Linked DNA regions of Oryza sativa Japonica Group. Each later gene encodes a partner of the first gene's protein in a complex. Links are inferred from orthologs where the notes say so. Each region holds a gene or a part of one and is shown in the gene's direction. Other genes may lie near its edges.

Region 1 (5,441 bases):
TATCGTGTTCATACTGTCGTATTGAATGATCCGGGTCGATTGCTTTCGGTGCATATAATGCACACAGCTCTAGTTTCTGGTTGGGCTGGCTCGATGGCTTTATACGAATTAGCGGTTTTTGATCCCTCTGATCCTGTTCTGGATCCAATGTGGAGACAAGGTATGTTCGTCATTCCTTTCATGACTCGTTTAGGAATAACCAATTCGTGGGGTGGTTGGAGTATTTCAGGAGGAACTGTAACGAATCCGGGTATTTGGAGTTATGAAGGCGTGGCAGGGGCGCATATTGTGTTTTCTGGCTTGTGTTTCTTGGCAGCTATCTGGCATTGGGTATATTGGGACCTCGAAATATTCTGTGATGAGCGGACGGGAAAACCTTCTTTGGATTTGCCCAAGATCTTTGGAATTCATTTATTTCTTGCAGGGGTGGCTTGCTTTGGCTTTGGCGCATTTCATGTAACTGGTTTGTATGGTCCTGGGATATGGGTGTCTGATCCTTATGGACTAACTGGAAAAGTACAAGCTGTAAATCCGGCGTGGGGTGCAGAAGGTTTTGATCCTTTTGTTCCGGGGGGAATAGCTTCTCATCATATTGCTGCGGGTACATTGGGCATATTAGCGGGCCTATTCCATCTTAGTGTCCGTCCACCTCAACGTCTATACAAAGGATTACGTATGGGCAATATTGAAACTGTACTTTCCAGTAGTATCGCTGCTGTTTTTTTTGCAGCTTTCGTAGTTGCCGGAACTATGTGGTATGGGTCAGCAACTACCCCAATTGAATTGTTTGGGCCTACTCGTTATCAGTGGGATCAGGGATACTTTCAGCAAGAAATATATCGAAGAGTTAGTGATGGGTTAGCCGAAAATCTCAGTTTATCAGAAGCTTGGTCTAAAATTCCCGAAAAATTAGCCTTTTATGATTATATTGGTAATAATCCGGCAAAGGGGGGATTATTCAGAGCAGGCTCAATGGACAATGGGGATGGAATAGCTGTTGGATGGTTAGGACATCCTATCTTTAGAGATAAAGAAGGGCGCGAACTTTTTGTACGCCGTATGCCTACTTTTTTTGAAACATTTCCGGTTGTTTTGGTAGATGAAGAGGGAATTGTGAGAGCGGACGTTCCTTTTAGAAGAGCAGAATCCAAATATAGTGTTGAACAAGTAGGCGTAACGGTGGAGTTCTATGGTGGCGAACTTAATGGAGTAAGTTATTCTGATCCTGCTACTGTAAAAAAATATGCGAGGCGTTCCCAATTAGGGGAAATTTTTGAATTAGATCGGGCTACTTTGAAATCAGATGGTGTTTTTCGCAGCAGTCCAAGGGGTTGGTTCACTTTTGGTCATGCTACCTTTGCTTTGCTCTTCTTTTTCGGACACATTTGGCATGGGGCTAGAACCTTGTTCGCAGATGTTTTTGCTGGTATTGATCCAGACTTAGATGCTCAAGTGGAATTTGGAGCAATCCAAAAACGTGGAGATCCAACTACAGGGAGACAGCCAGTCTGAGGCCGCATTGCTTTGGTATCTTTCACCTCTCTTTTTTGATTTGACATGGGAAACATCTCCCATCCCTTCTTTGACTCTTTTTCCTTTTTTATACGGGAAATGATCCCAAATGACAAATGAATAGGTGTGGAAGTTATAATTGTAAATAAACCACGATCGAATCTATGGAAGCATTGGTTTATACGTTCCTTTTAGTTTCGACTTTAGGGATAATTTTTTTCGCTATCTTCTTCCGAGAACCACCTAAGGTTCCGACTAAAAAAGTGAAATAATTTAATTGAAGTAAGAAGTCTCCCCATCTGGGAGACTTCTTACTTCAATTAGTCCCCGTGTTCTTCGAATGGATCTCTTAATTGTTGAGAGGGTTGCCCAAACGCGGTATATAAGGCATACCCAGTAAAGCTTACAAGTAAACCAGATATGGAGATGGCGACTAAAGTTGCTGTTTCCATTTTTATAGAATTTCAAGATTACAATGGATCTACGAAAAGATCGTGTATTTACAACTACAACGGAATAGTATACAAAGTCAACACAAATCATTAAATGGAATTTATGGCTACACAAACCGTTGAAGATAGTTCTAGACCTGGACCAAGACAAACTCGCGTAGGTAATTTATTGAAACCCTTGAATTCGGAATATGGGAAAGTAGCTCCGGGTTGGGGGACTACTCCTTTTATGGGGGTCGCAATGGCTTTATTCGCGGTATTCCTATCTATTATTTTAGAAATTTATAATTCTTCCGTTTTACTGGACGGAATTTTAATGAATTAGGTTTCTACTAACGAAAACTACGAAGTCATAGTTTTTCCATCCAAAAGAGCCTTTCTACTTTAAGCTCTACATTTCTAGACATTCTGGTAGTTCGACCGTGGAATTTTTTGGTTTCGGTATCTCTGGAATATGAGTGTGTGACTTGTTAGAATTTGCTCCTATTGATAATACATAGAAAGCACCTGTTATCTCTATCAAGATGATTCTAATTCGTCGGATATTATTTATTCTAGTATCTGGAACACGAAATAGATAGAGTGGATCAAGAAAAAAAAATGAAACTATGATTCATATTAACTATTCAGACCTCGCAACCAGACTGAAAAAAATTCAAGTAGTTCTTAATAAAAATAAAAAAAGAAAATTTCTTCCTTCCAATTTTGTTTGCCCAAAAAACAACTTTTTTTCTCTCGATTTTGTCGAGTCATTACACCGATTCAATAAATGATCATCAAGCGGTTCTTATTCGAAGAACCCTTGCCTTTTGTTTAGCTTGAGACTCAATCATCGTGGCTCTAGTATGAATCTAAGGTTTTAATTGAACTGATTCATAGGATCGCAACAAGATAATTTCTACCAGAAAACTACTCCAATTTTTGCTTTATTTATTTATCTAGTAAAACAAGAGTAAATCTGCATTACGCACAAAAAAAAGAAATCCAAAATAGGGAAGAGAAAAATCAAGAGGCCTCCTAATGATCAACATTTGGGAAAGAAAGATAGACGAGCCAACTTGAGATTTTTGGCATTATCATCACAAAGAAGAAATTCTGATTTTTCTTATTTCATATCTTCAAGGCAAATCGACCCAACCCAGTGCTGATGAAGTTTTGAACCTTTTTTCTAATATCCGTTGAAAATTTGTGTGTTTCTGTTTGAGCCGTACGAGATGAAATTCTCATATACGGTTCTCGGAGGGGGGTTCGGGTTAGTTACCTATCTCAATAAAGTATATGATTGGTTTGAGGAACGTCTTGAGATTCAGGCAATTGCAGATGATATAACTAGTAAATATGTTCCTCCTCATGTCAACATATTTTATTGTTTAGGGGGAATTACACTTACTTGTTTTCTAGTACAAGTTGCTACCGGTTTTGCTATGACTTTTTACTATCGCCCAACCGTTACAGAGGCTTTTTCCTCGGTTCAATACATAATGACCGAGGCCAACTTTGGTTGGTTAATCCGATCAGTTCATCGATGGTCAGCAAGTATGATGGTTCTAATGATGATCCTGCACGTATTTCGTGTGTATCTCACAGGTGGGTTTAAAAAACCCCGCGAATTAACTTGGGTCACTGGTGTGGTTTTAGCTGTATTAACTGCATCGTTTGGTGTAACTGGTTATTCTTTACCTTGGGATCAAATTGGTTATTGGGCAGTCAAAATTGTGACAGGTGTGCCTGACGCGATTCCGGTAATAGGATCACCTTTAGTGGAGTTATTACGTGGAAGTGCTAGTGTGGGTCAATCCACTTTGACTCGTTTTTATAGTTTACATACCTTTGTACTTCCTCTGCTTACTGCCGTATTTATGTTAATGCACTTTCTAATGATACGTAAGCAAGGTATTTCGGGCCCTTTATAAGGAAGGCATCTCATAGAGAGTTCTAATTCTCATATATCATATCGGGTAGGTTGTGGTATTTCATTGCTACAAACATGGGTTATTCTAAAATAAGACATGTCATTTAGATACTTCTCTTCAACTCCGAACTATTGTGATACAAATAATACAAATAGATTGAAGTTAATTTTACGAAAGAAAAGAAGGCGGATTATGGGAGTGTGCGACTTGAATTATTGATTGGCCATGCAGATAGAGAGTTGGATCTGCCACATTAGAATTCACGACCAAAGTGTCTCCATATCCAATCAACACGTAAGTCCCCTGTCTAGTAAGGATAGGCTGGTTCACTTGAGAGAATATTTTCTATGATCATACCTCAACCATGTCATCCATGAAGAGGCTCCGTAAGATCCCATAGAGTAGAAATGAATAAGTCATGTGACATGATCCAATTCTCTATTTATTACACTTACTTTTTATTATAGTATGGAAATGCATTCATTTTCTTTGCATCGATTGCGATCTGCAATACTATCGGAGTAAAAGAAGGGATCTAAGGAAGAACGTAGGCTAAACTTTTTGATTTTTTATTAGTAACAAGTAAATACTTTGTTTGGACGTAAGAAACTTGCAATATTGGGGGGGATAAATACCAACTAATCAAGAGACGCGAGACAATCCACAAAGCAATTGATCATGATCAAATTTGTAAGCCCACTTGGATATTGAGCATTTACCCATAAGAGTAGGATTCTTTTCAATGAATAGTTGTAGGTGCAACTTCGGAAAATAGAATCTGATAAAGCTTTTCTTACTTAGAGCCATTGAGCCATTATATACCTTATTCTATTATGGATCTTTCTACGGTTTTATTTCTTTCATTCTTGCTCGAGCCGGATGATGAAAAATTCTCATGTCCGGTTCCTTTGGGGGCTGGATCTTAAAGAATTCACCTATCCCAATAACAAAGAAACCTGACTTAAACGATCCTGTATTAAGAGCAAAATTAGCTAAAGGGATGGGACATAATTATTACGGGGAACCCGCGTGGCCCAACGATCTTTTATATATTTTTCCAGTAGTAATTCTAGGTACTATTGCATGTAATGTAGGTTTAGCGGTTCTCGAGCCGTCAATGATTGGTGAACCGGCGGATCCGTTTGCAACTCCTCTGGAAATATTACCCGAGTGGTACTTCTTTCCCGTGTTTCAAATACTCCGTACAGTACCTAATAAGTTATTGGGCGTTCTCTTAATGGTTTCTGTGCCGACGGGCTTATTGACAGTACCTTTTCTAGAGAATGTCAATAAATTCCAAAATCCATTTCGTCGCCCAGTAGCTACAACCGTTTTTTTAATCGGTACTGCAGTAGCTCTTTGGTTAGGTATTGGAGCAACATTACCCATTGAAAAATCCTTAACTTTAGGTCTTTTTTAGGGATTTTTCAGTTTGATTCATTCAATCGTGAAGTACCGTGCATAGGTATCTAGGAAATAGTTACTTCCAAGTGAATCTTCCCTAGATACCTATAATCTATTTTATTATGATCCATTTCGCGAAAATATAGATTGTCCCAAAGAT
Region 2 (6,768 bases), on another chromosome or scaffold:
TCCTTCCTTGTCATTGTTGTTGCCCCGGTTAAGTTTATTGTCTTGAATCTGCACATGTGAGTCTGAATCCCTCTTCAACCTCTCTGAATCAGATAAAGCAAACATCTCTGCAAGAGTTTTTGAACCAATGGCACCTTCCTCATACTTGCGGCGGATTTTCCAGGGTGAGCTATTTGATGATGACCTGTTGCTTTTTCTGGAGTTAACTTCACTGCTAACACACTTCTGAGATGATCCAGTGTTATCCGTATCCACTGTGTTATATTGATCAAGTGATGAATCTTGTCGCTTTAACAGTGAATCTACAGCATTGCTAGTCAAGTGTCTTTCTCCTTTTATTCTAGGCACATTAATATCTTTAGTGCCTAAAAGATTTTGCGAACCCCTGTTCGTAGTAGAAAACTCAGCCTGCTTCATCTTTCTCCTGAAATTCTTATTGACATCAGAGGGTTCTGGTGTAGAAAAGGCATTACCTGAATGTTGGACTTCCCCTAAGCCTAGCTCCAGAACAACAATTTCTTTAAGTGAAGAGTTACCTAAACCAACAGGGTACTTCCTGAAAGTACTTGAAGTACTATCTTTCTCATATCGATAATTTGGGGAACAATTCACATCATAGGGGTGCTTCTCAAACAAAGGATTATTTATCTCTAGCGAGTTCAAGCGATCAAAACCATCTTGGTTCACTACATTGTTATCAAATGTTTCATCGCCGTAGGGAGACTTTGATGGCATAAGCTTTCTTAGCTTTAATGCACTTCGCTTCAAGCTTGGCAACCCTTTAGGGAAATTATGTGATCTCTCTTTCGTGACGGCCTCTTGTGGTTCCTCTGACACTTCGAATACATCCTTGAATTCCTGGTGCTGATTGTGGGCTACATAAGCAGGTGGCAACACATCAAGTCCCATCAGTTTTGCAATCACACTAGGTGATGGTCTCCTGTGCTCCAATTCCTTCAACTGATCCTTCCCGACAAGTGTTTTGGTTGGACAGCTGTTATTTCTTCGTGGCCTGCACTCCTTGTACCGATGCTCAAGCTACAAAAGTTATTAAAAACAAAAAAGGATACATATTTCTCAATCTTTACTTTTGACATTTCATCGCAAGAGCAATACAATGAAAGAGAAAGAATTAACTCACTGAAATCTGTTCCATCTTGGAGATTACTGTATGGAGGATCAGTTGAGATAAAATGTTGCTACATCATCCCACAGGTGAAGAGAACTTCTGCCTACACATATTCATGGAACATTTATAAAGTTATGGGGGTTCTATACTTCTATACAGAGAGAAAACTAATAAATGCGCATAAATTTTCCCTTAACTAATGAATGCTCGCAGAGAGCATCTTGTGCTGAACTGAACATCACAAATCACAACACAACAAACTGTCCCAAGAACATAGAGCGCACTAGATCTCCAAGTACAACGCCAATATTTCTTGCCTAAAGCAATTCAATTAAATCAGTAGTACTAGAACAAAAAAAATAATAATAATATCATCAAAATAATAATAATATCCCATAATGGATAATGCATACCATAACAAAGTCCTCAAGATACACATAGACCCACCCAACTATTGCATTTAAACGCACTTTCTACGCAATACGCATCAAAAGGCCAGGGACGGACCTAACGTGGGGCTCCCCAATATTATTATTATTATGATTATTATATCTTTTGGGAAACAAAGTGCTACTATTCCTAGACAGGTTAAGGCAAAGGAGGAAAAAAGAAAAAAGCTTCCAGATCCAGAGGAGATGCAGAGGTTAATTTAAACAGGGAAAAAAAAGGTTAGGACCGTGTAGAAAGAGAGATGAGAAAGAGGATGCCTCACGCGTGGGTGCTCAATGCAGCGGCGGAAGAAGATGCCGCCGCCAGTCGTCGGAGGGAGATCGGCGCAGGCGGCGGCGGGCGAGTCAAAATCGCCAGCCGACGTGGGGACGGGAGGATCCTCGTCGAGTCGGGAGGGGAGGAGAGGGGAGTAGTGAGTGAGTGTTGTTGGCGGTCCCGGTATTCATTCAATTACGGTCTGAAAAAATTAATGATTCAGGCCGTGATCACTCATAATTACGGACGGGATTTGGTGGTAGCACTCGTACCAGTAGCTGCCCAATTGCATTAATGGGTAAAAATAAATTCATCATTTTCCTTTCTGGCAGAAGGGTAGGAACTAGGAAGACAAGATGGGCCTTAGAATACCATTCCAGAAAGTATATTTTGTCTCCCTTAACTATAGCCCGGGTAAGATTAATGTTCCCCAACCATAAAACCAGGTATTTCATGCTTCCAATTAGTGAAACTGGTGCAAAAGGAGTTTTGGAGGCAGTTTCATCTTACATGGCTTGTTGACTGTGGCGGAGCCAGAATAAAATTATAGCGGGGCTAAACCAAAGTGGCCAATAAAAATTGAAACATGTCTCATATAAATTGGCTATATTTCTAATACATAGTATAAATATATAGATTAGAATTTTAGGAATATTATGGGGGCTCTAATGGTATATTAGGGGTAGGGGGTTCTAAAGACCCCCCCCCCCCAGCCCCCACGTTGTCTCTGCCGCTGCTTGTTGACTTGATCCACTCGGCTGAGTCAGCATGTGGGCTTACGTCTCACCCGTTTTGTGTTTAGAGGGCAAGAATCATACTCAGATCATAGTCGAGAGAGCAAATTAATGTCTCTCAATCACAAAACCGAATATTTCACGATCCCAACTAATGAAACCGGTGCAAAAGGAGTTTTTTTTTGAGAGCTCTCCACTTTGAGAACAAGCTGTAGTAACTGAACATACGTGCAAACGCACTCCACCACGCACACACACTCCACACACGCACCCCTACACGCATGCTAGACCTATCAACTATACACACATGTGCTAATGAGATACACAAAGCTACCTAAGGACCTTGTGCGTGACGAGGACGTCACTCTATTATTGTGGCGTTGGCACGGGAGAGCTGGAAATTTATTTGGGAATAAATCCCGGTGAGACGCGCGGGTGATGATCCCAGGGATCGAACCCGCACGGGCTGCTCGCTCACCAGCAATGCTAGCCAACCGAGCAACGCTCGGTTCTCAGTGCAAAAGGAGTTTTGGGGGCGGTTTCATCCGATATGGCTCGTTGACTTGATCCACTTAGCTGAGTTAGCACGTGGACTCACGTCTCACCCATTTTTGCGCTTAGATGGGAAACAATCATACTCGGATCATAGTTGAGAGAGTCAAAGTATACTTTATATTTCCTACCATCCCGTCAGGGGACCCAAAACACCCGGCCCCTCCGACTAGATGTGGCCCAACCCAACTCGTGGCCACGTCTCGCCGTGCATTTCAGCCGCTCTTGCCGTGCCACGCCCACTCCCACCCATTTCACAGGACGCGCGCGGCGCGCAACGGCTGGCCTCTCGCGCGACGCGAGGCGCGCGCCGATGCCAACTTGGCGAGGCGAGCAACGGGGCGCGTGGAGTTGGTGGCAATGGAGGCGTACGCGTGGTGTGGATAAGCCGCTTGTGGCCGCCTCACACACCCGCTCTCCTCCACCACACGCCGCCCAATCACCACCTCATATACCTCGCGATCCCTCTCACCGCCGATCGATCGAGACGACGCATCACCCATCTCATTCTCATCATCGTCGCGTGAGAGAGAGCTAGAGCTGAGCTAAGAATCATGGCTTCGGTGGGATTCGGGAGCAGAGTGGCGGCGGCGGGCGTGGCGCCGTCGGCGTCGTCGTCGTCGGCTGGGCGGAGGCGGCCGTCGCGGGTGGCGATGGCGGTCGGCGCCACGAGGGGGAAGCCGGCGCCGGCGGAGGAGGAGAAGAGCCTCGCCGACTTCATCTTCGGCTTCATCTTCAAGAAGGACCAGCTCGTCGAGACCGACCCGCTGCTCAACAAGGTCGACGGCGCGCCGCCCTCCGGCTCCACTGTCTCCCGGAAGGCCCCCGCCAAGAAGCCCGCGGCGAGCGCCGCCGACGAGGAAGGCGGCGGCGGCGGCTTCAACCTCGGCGCCCTCTTCGCCAAGAAAGGCTGAAGAATCCTTTCGAATTCTACGTACGTATATACTCCAACGCAGAGCGTCAGCTTGCCTACACGATCGATGTATTACCCTCCTCCTCATCAAACAGTTTGATTCAAACTCCAAGCTTAATTTGGAGGATGATTTGCGTATACGTAGCAACATGTGAGGTGTGACTCAAAAGTGATTAATTTTTTATGTGAAAATGTGGTTTATATACTTCATACAACACACATCATTTGTTATTTCTTTTCAACTCAACATGGATGAATGGATTAAAAGGGTTAAGCCTGCTGATCATGTTGTGTTTTGTCTCACAAAGCATATGGTAAAAGATTGTGTATGTTAACTTAGTGCCTACGTGTGAGGTGTGGTCCAAAGTGATTTTTGACGTGATAATGTGGTATACTACATCATTTCTTGTTCTTTCCAATTCAGTGTGAGGAGGATTAAAAGGGTTAAACCTGAATACCTGATGACATTGTTTTTTCTTATCTTACATACATATACTCCAATTTGGAGTGAACTTTTCTGTCAAGAAAAAAAATAGCAACTTTAGGTGTTGGTATGAAACTATGAATCAAATAATCTGGAGAGTTTTGCACAAAGATTGGCAGCCTCATCTTCACATGATCCCTCCGGCCGGCCTAGAGCCCGCTTGATTGGCGACTCAGATTGGAAGCACCAAGCCTTTTCTTTTATTTTGCACAATTTTTTTCTGTTCAACTTCATGAGCAGACAGATTGCAGAGAGTTCCAACCGGTGGCTAGTTTTGCAGAATGCTTTCTGCCTCACCACAATTATAGACCAAAACTGAACGCATACACAAAGTGTGTAACCTTATGAACAAGGACTATGCACAAAACCCATGAATGATCCACCAAAAAACAATTGAACATTGACCATATCTCTTTACAGTATATAATTGTTGATAGGTAAAGCGGCAGTGAGACCTCTTCATGTCATAAATACACATTAGGACATTTTTGCCTTTGCAAAGAATATCCCAGCAAAAAGACCTGTTAAGTACAATCAGGAGACATGTTATGTATACACACATTCATAAAGAAAATTAGACAGCAATTCAGCAGTGATGAAGCAAGTACTCACCAAAAATTATGCTAAACAAATTTTCAACACTCACTGGTACGTTGAAAAGCAAGATACCAGCCACCGAAATAGGTATCTTGTTCAGTGAACCAACAAGGCTGAAAACGGAAACCAAATAAAAAAAAATATCAACATGTAGTCAACTTTGCTGGAGTGACAACTATGCAAATATTATTTTAATGCAAATGCAAACATGTTTTATTGGCAACTTGAAGGAAGAGAGTTAGTAGTATCATATCACCTGTAAGTTGTTGGGCCAGTCCGATGTAAAAACCACACAGATGAGAAGCTAATTGCCAGACCTAGCAAACCACTAGCTGTTGCAAAAGCCCAGAACATAGGATCTCTAGTAACTTCACTGCAGATGAGAGGAAAACATCGTGTATAAGTACAAATGGAGAAGCATGGACAACAACCAATTCTGCCTTTGCAGCAACAGTTACAGGAGAAATCTAACATCAGGGTTCTCCCCTGATGTATTCCCGTTAAAAAACAACATGTGGAAACAACGAAAAGTTCATTGATCATCTAACTTCATATTCAAGTTGATTGCAATAGGCTGAAGCTTCATTTATGAGCAAAAACAGAACATCTTATTTATCGAAACGAAGCCAAGTTTAGAAGCAGAGTAGATGTACAGCAAGATTTTCATATGTCCTTTTGTGTTACTTGCATAACTGGTAAATTTTAGGGCAGATTACTTTTGAATGGTTAGGTTGGGAGTGAAGATTGAGTTCTTACACTTCATAAACGTATTGCCATTCGTCGAAGATAACAATCAAAATGAGTGCTAAAGGTATGGAGAGCGCATTGTTAAGTAACACCATAGAAACTTCATTGAGGGAACCGGATTTTGTTGATTGTTTGGCTACATCCATCACACGTCTTAGTGTAAGCTGTAACAAGAAGTAGGAAAATTATGTACAACCCATGTGACTAGTAGGAGGAACAAGAGAACTGAAGGATTAGAATACTTCCCAAAAAAAATCTGCTAAGAAGTTCATCAATATATTAATTGTAAAGAGGCTTGCAAAGTTGCAATATACTGTGGATGCAAAAACTATGATCAGAAAATTCGACTAACCGAGTAGCCTGCTGTCAGAAAGCAATTGAAAAGTTGCCACATGTAGCCAACCGGATGGAAAGAAAGATCTGTAATCCCCCCACATACAGCTGATATAACCTGCATAGCACAACAGAGATAAGCACCTGCTCAGTTCAACAACTATGCTGTTAAGGTGTAAAGTTCTTAATACAGGCCAACAATTACATAATTAGCTAATATTTGGAAGTAAACAAGAGGCACGTGGAGCAGAAAAGGACATACCATTAGACACAAGGCAGCCCAAACCTTTTTGTTCTGACCCTTCCTGAAAATATATATTTCTCCAACAGCTGTCAAAATGTTTGTCATGTTCTTTAATATCGTCACCATTGCAACATTTATGTACTTCAAACTGAAAAAACAGGAATATATAGCTCTGTTATACTTTGTGCAATATCATAAAAATAAAGTTCATTTGGATTTTGGATATTGGAGCTTTAGGGTGATGGACCGATTGTCATATATCATGTCGAAGAATTACGTACCTGTACATTCCAGTTACTAACATCCCAACAAAAATAAGATTCACTGGAA

Evidence for each region. Proteins that work in one complex are often made in the same cells at the same time.
Region 2: the proteins of petB (region 1) and uncharacterized protein are in contact, whole or in part, in a cryo-EM structure (PDB 9ES7), measured with the Spinacia oleracea proteins. The link is inferred for Oryza sativa Japonica Group from reciprocal best matches to the Arabidopsis thaliana genes petB and AT3G47070. Residues at the interface, in NP_054964.1 of Spinacia oleracea: Pro28, His29, Pro214, Leu215; in XP_056683494.1 of Spinacia oleracea: Lys44, Asp46, Gln47, Phe48, Tyr49, Glu50, Leu55.

The regions. Positions count from the first base shown.
Region 1 is NC_001320.1:68,814-74,254, forward strand, and holds petB (cytochrome b6), read left to right. Parts: upstream 1-2,418; coding exon 2,419-2,424; intron 2,425-3,235; coding exon 3,236-3,877; downstream 3,878-5,441. Other genes in the region: psbB (photosystem II 47 kDa protein), read left to right, coding at 1-1,512; psbT (photosystem II protein T), read left to right, coding at 1,677-1,784; psbN (photosystem II protein N), read right to left, coding at 1,833-1,964; psbH (photosystem II protein H), read left to right, coding at 2,068-2,289; petD (cytochrome b6/f complex subunit IV), read left to right, coding at 4,070-4,077, 4,823-5,297. UniProt on the Arabidopsis thaliana protein: Component of the cytochrome b6-f complex, which mediates electron transfer between photosystem II (PSII) and photosystem I (PSI), cyclic electron flow around PSI, and state transitions.
Region 2 is NC_089037.1:35,676,597-35,683,364, forward strand, and holds uncharacterized protein, read left to right. Parts: upstream 1-3,600; 5' UTR 3,601-3,674; coding exon 3,675-4,034; 3' UTR 4,035-4,314; downstream 4,315-6,768. Other genes in the region: uncharacterized protein, read right to left, coding at 1-1,038, 1,142-1,156; GDP-mannose transporter GONST1, read right to left, coding at 4,995-5,038, 5,130-5,227, 5,371-5,487, 5,871-6,025, 6,214-6,312, 6,457-6,586, 6,720-6,768.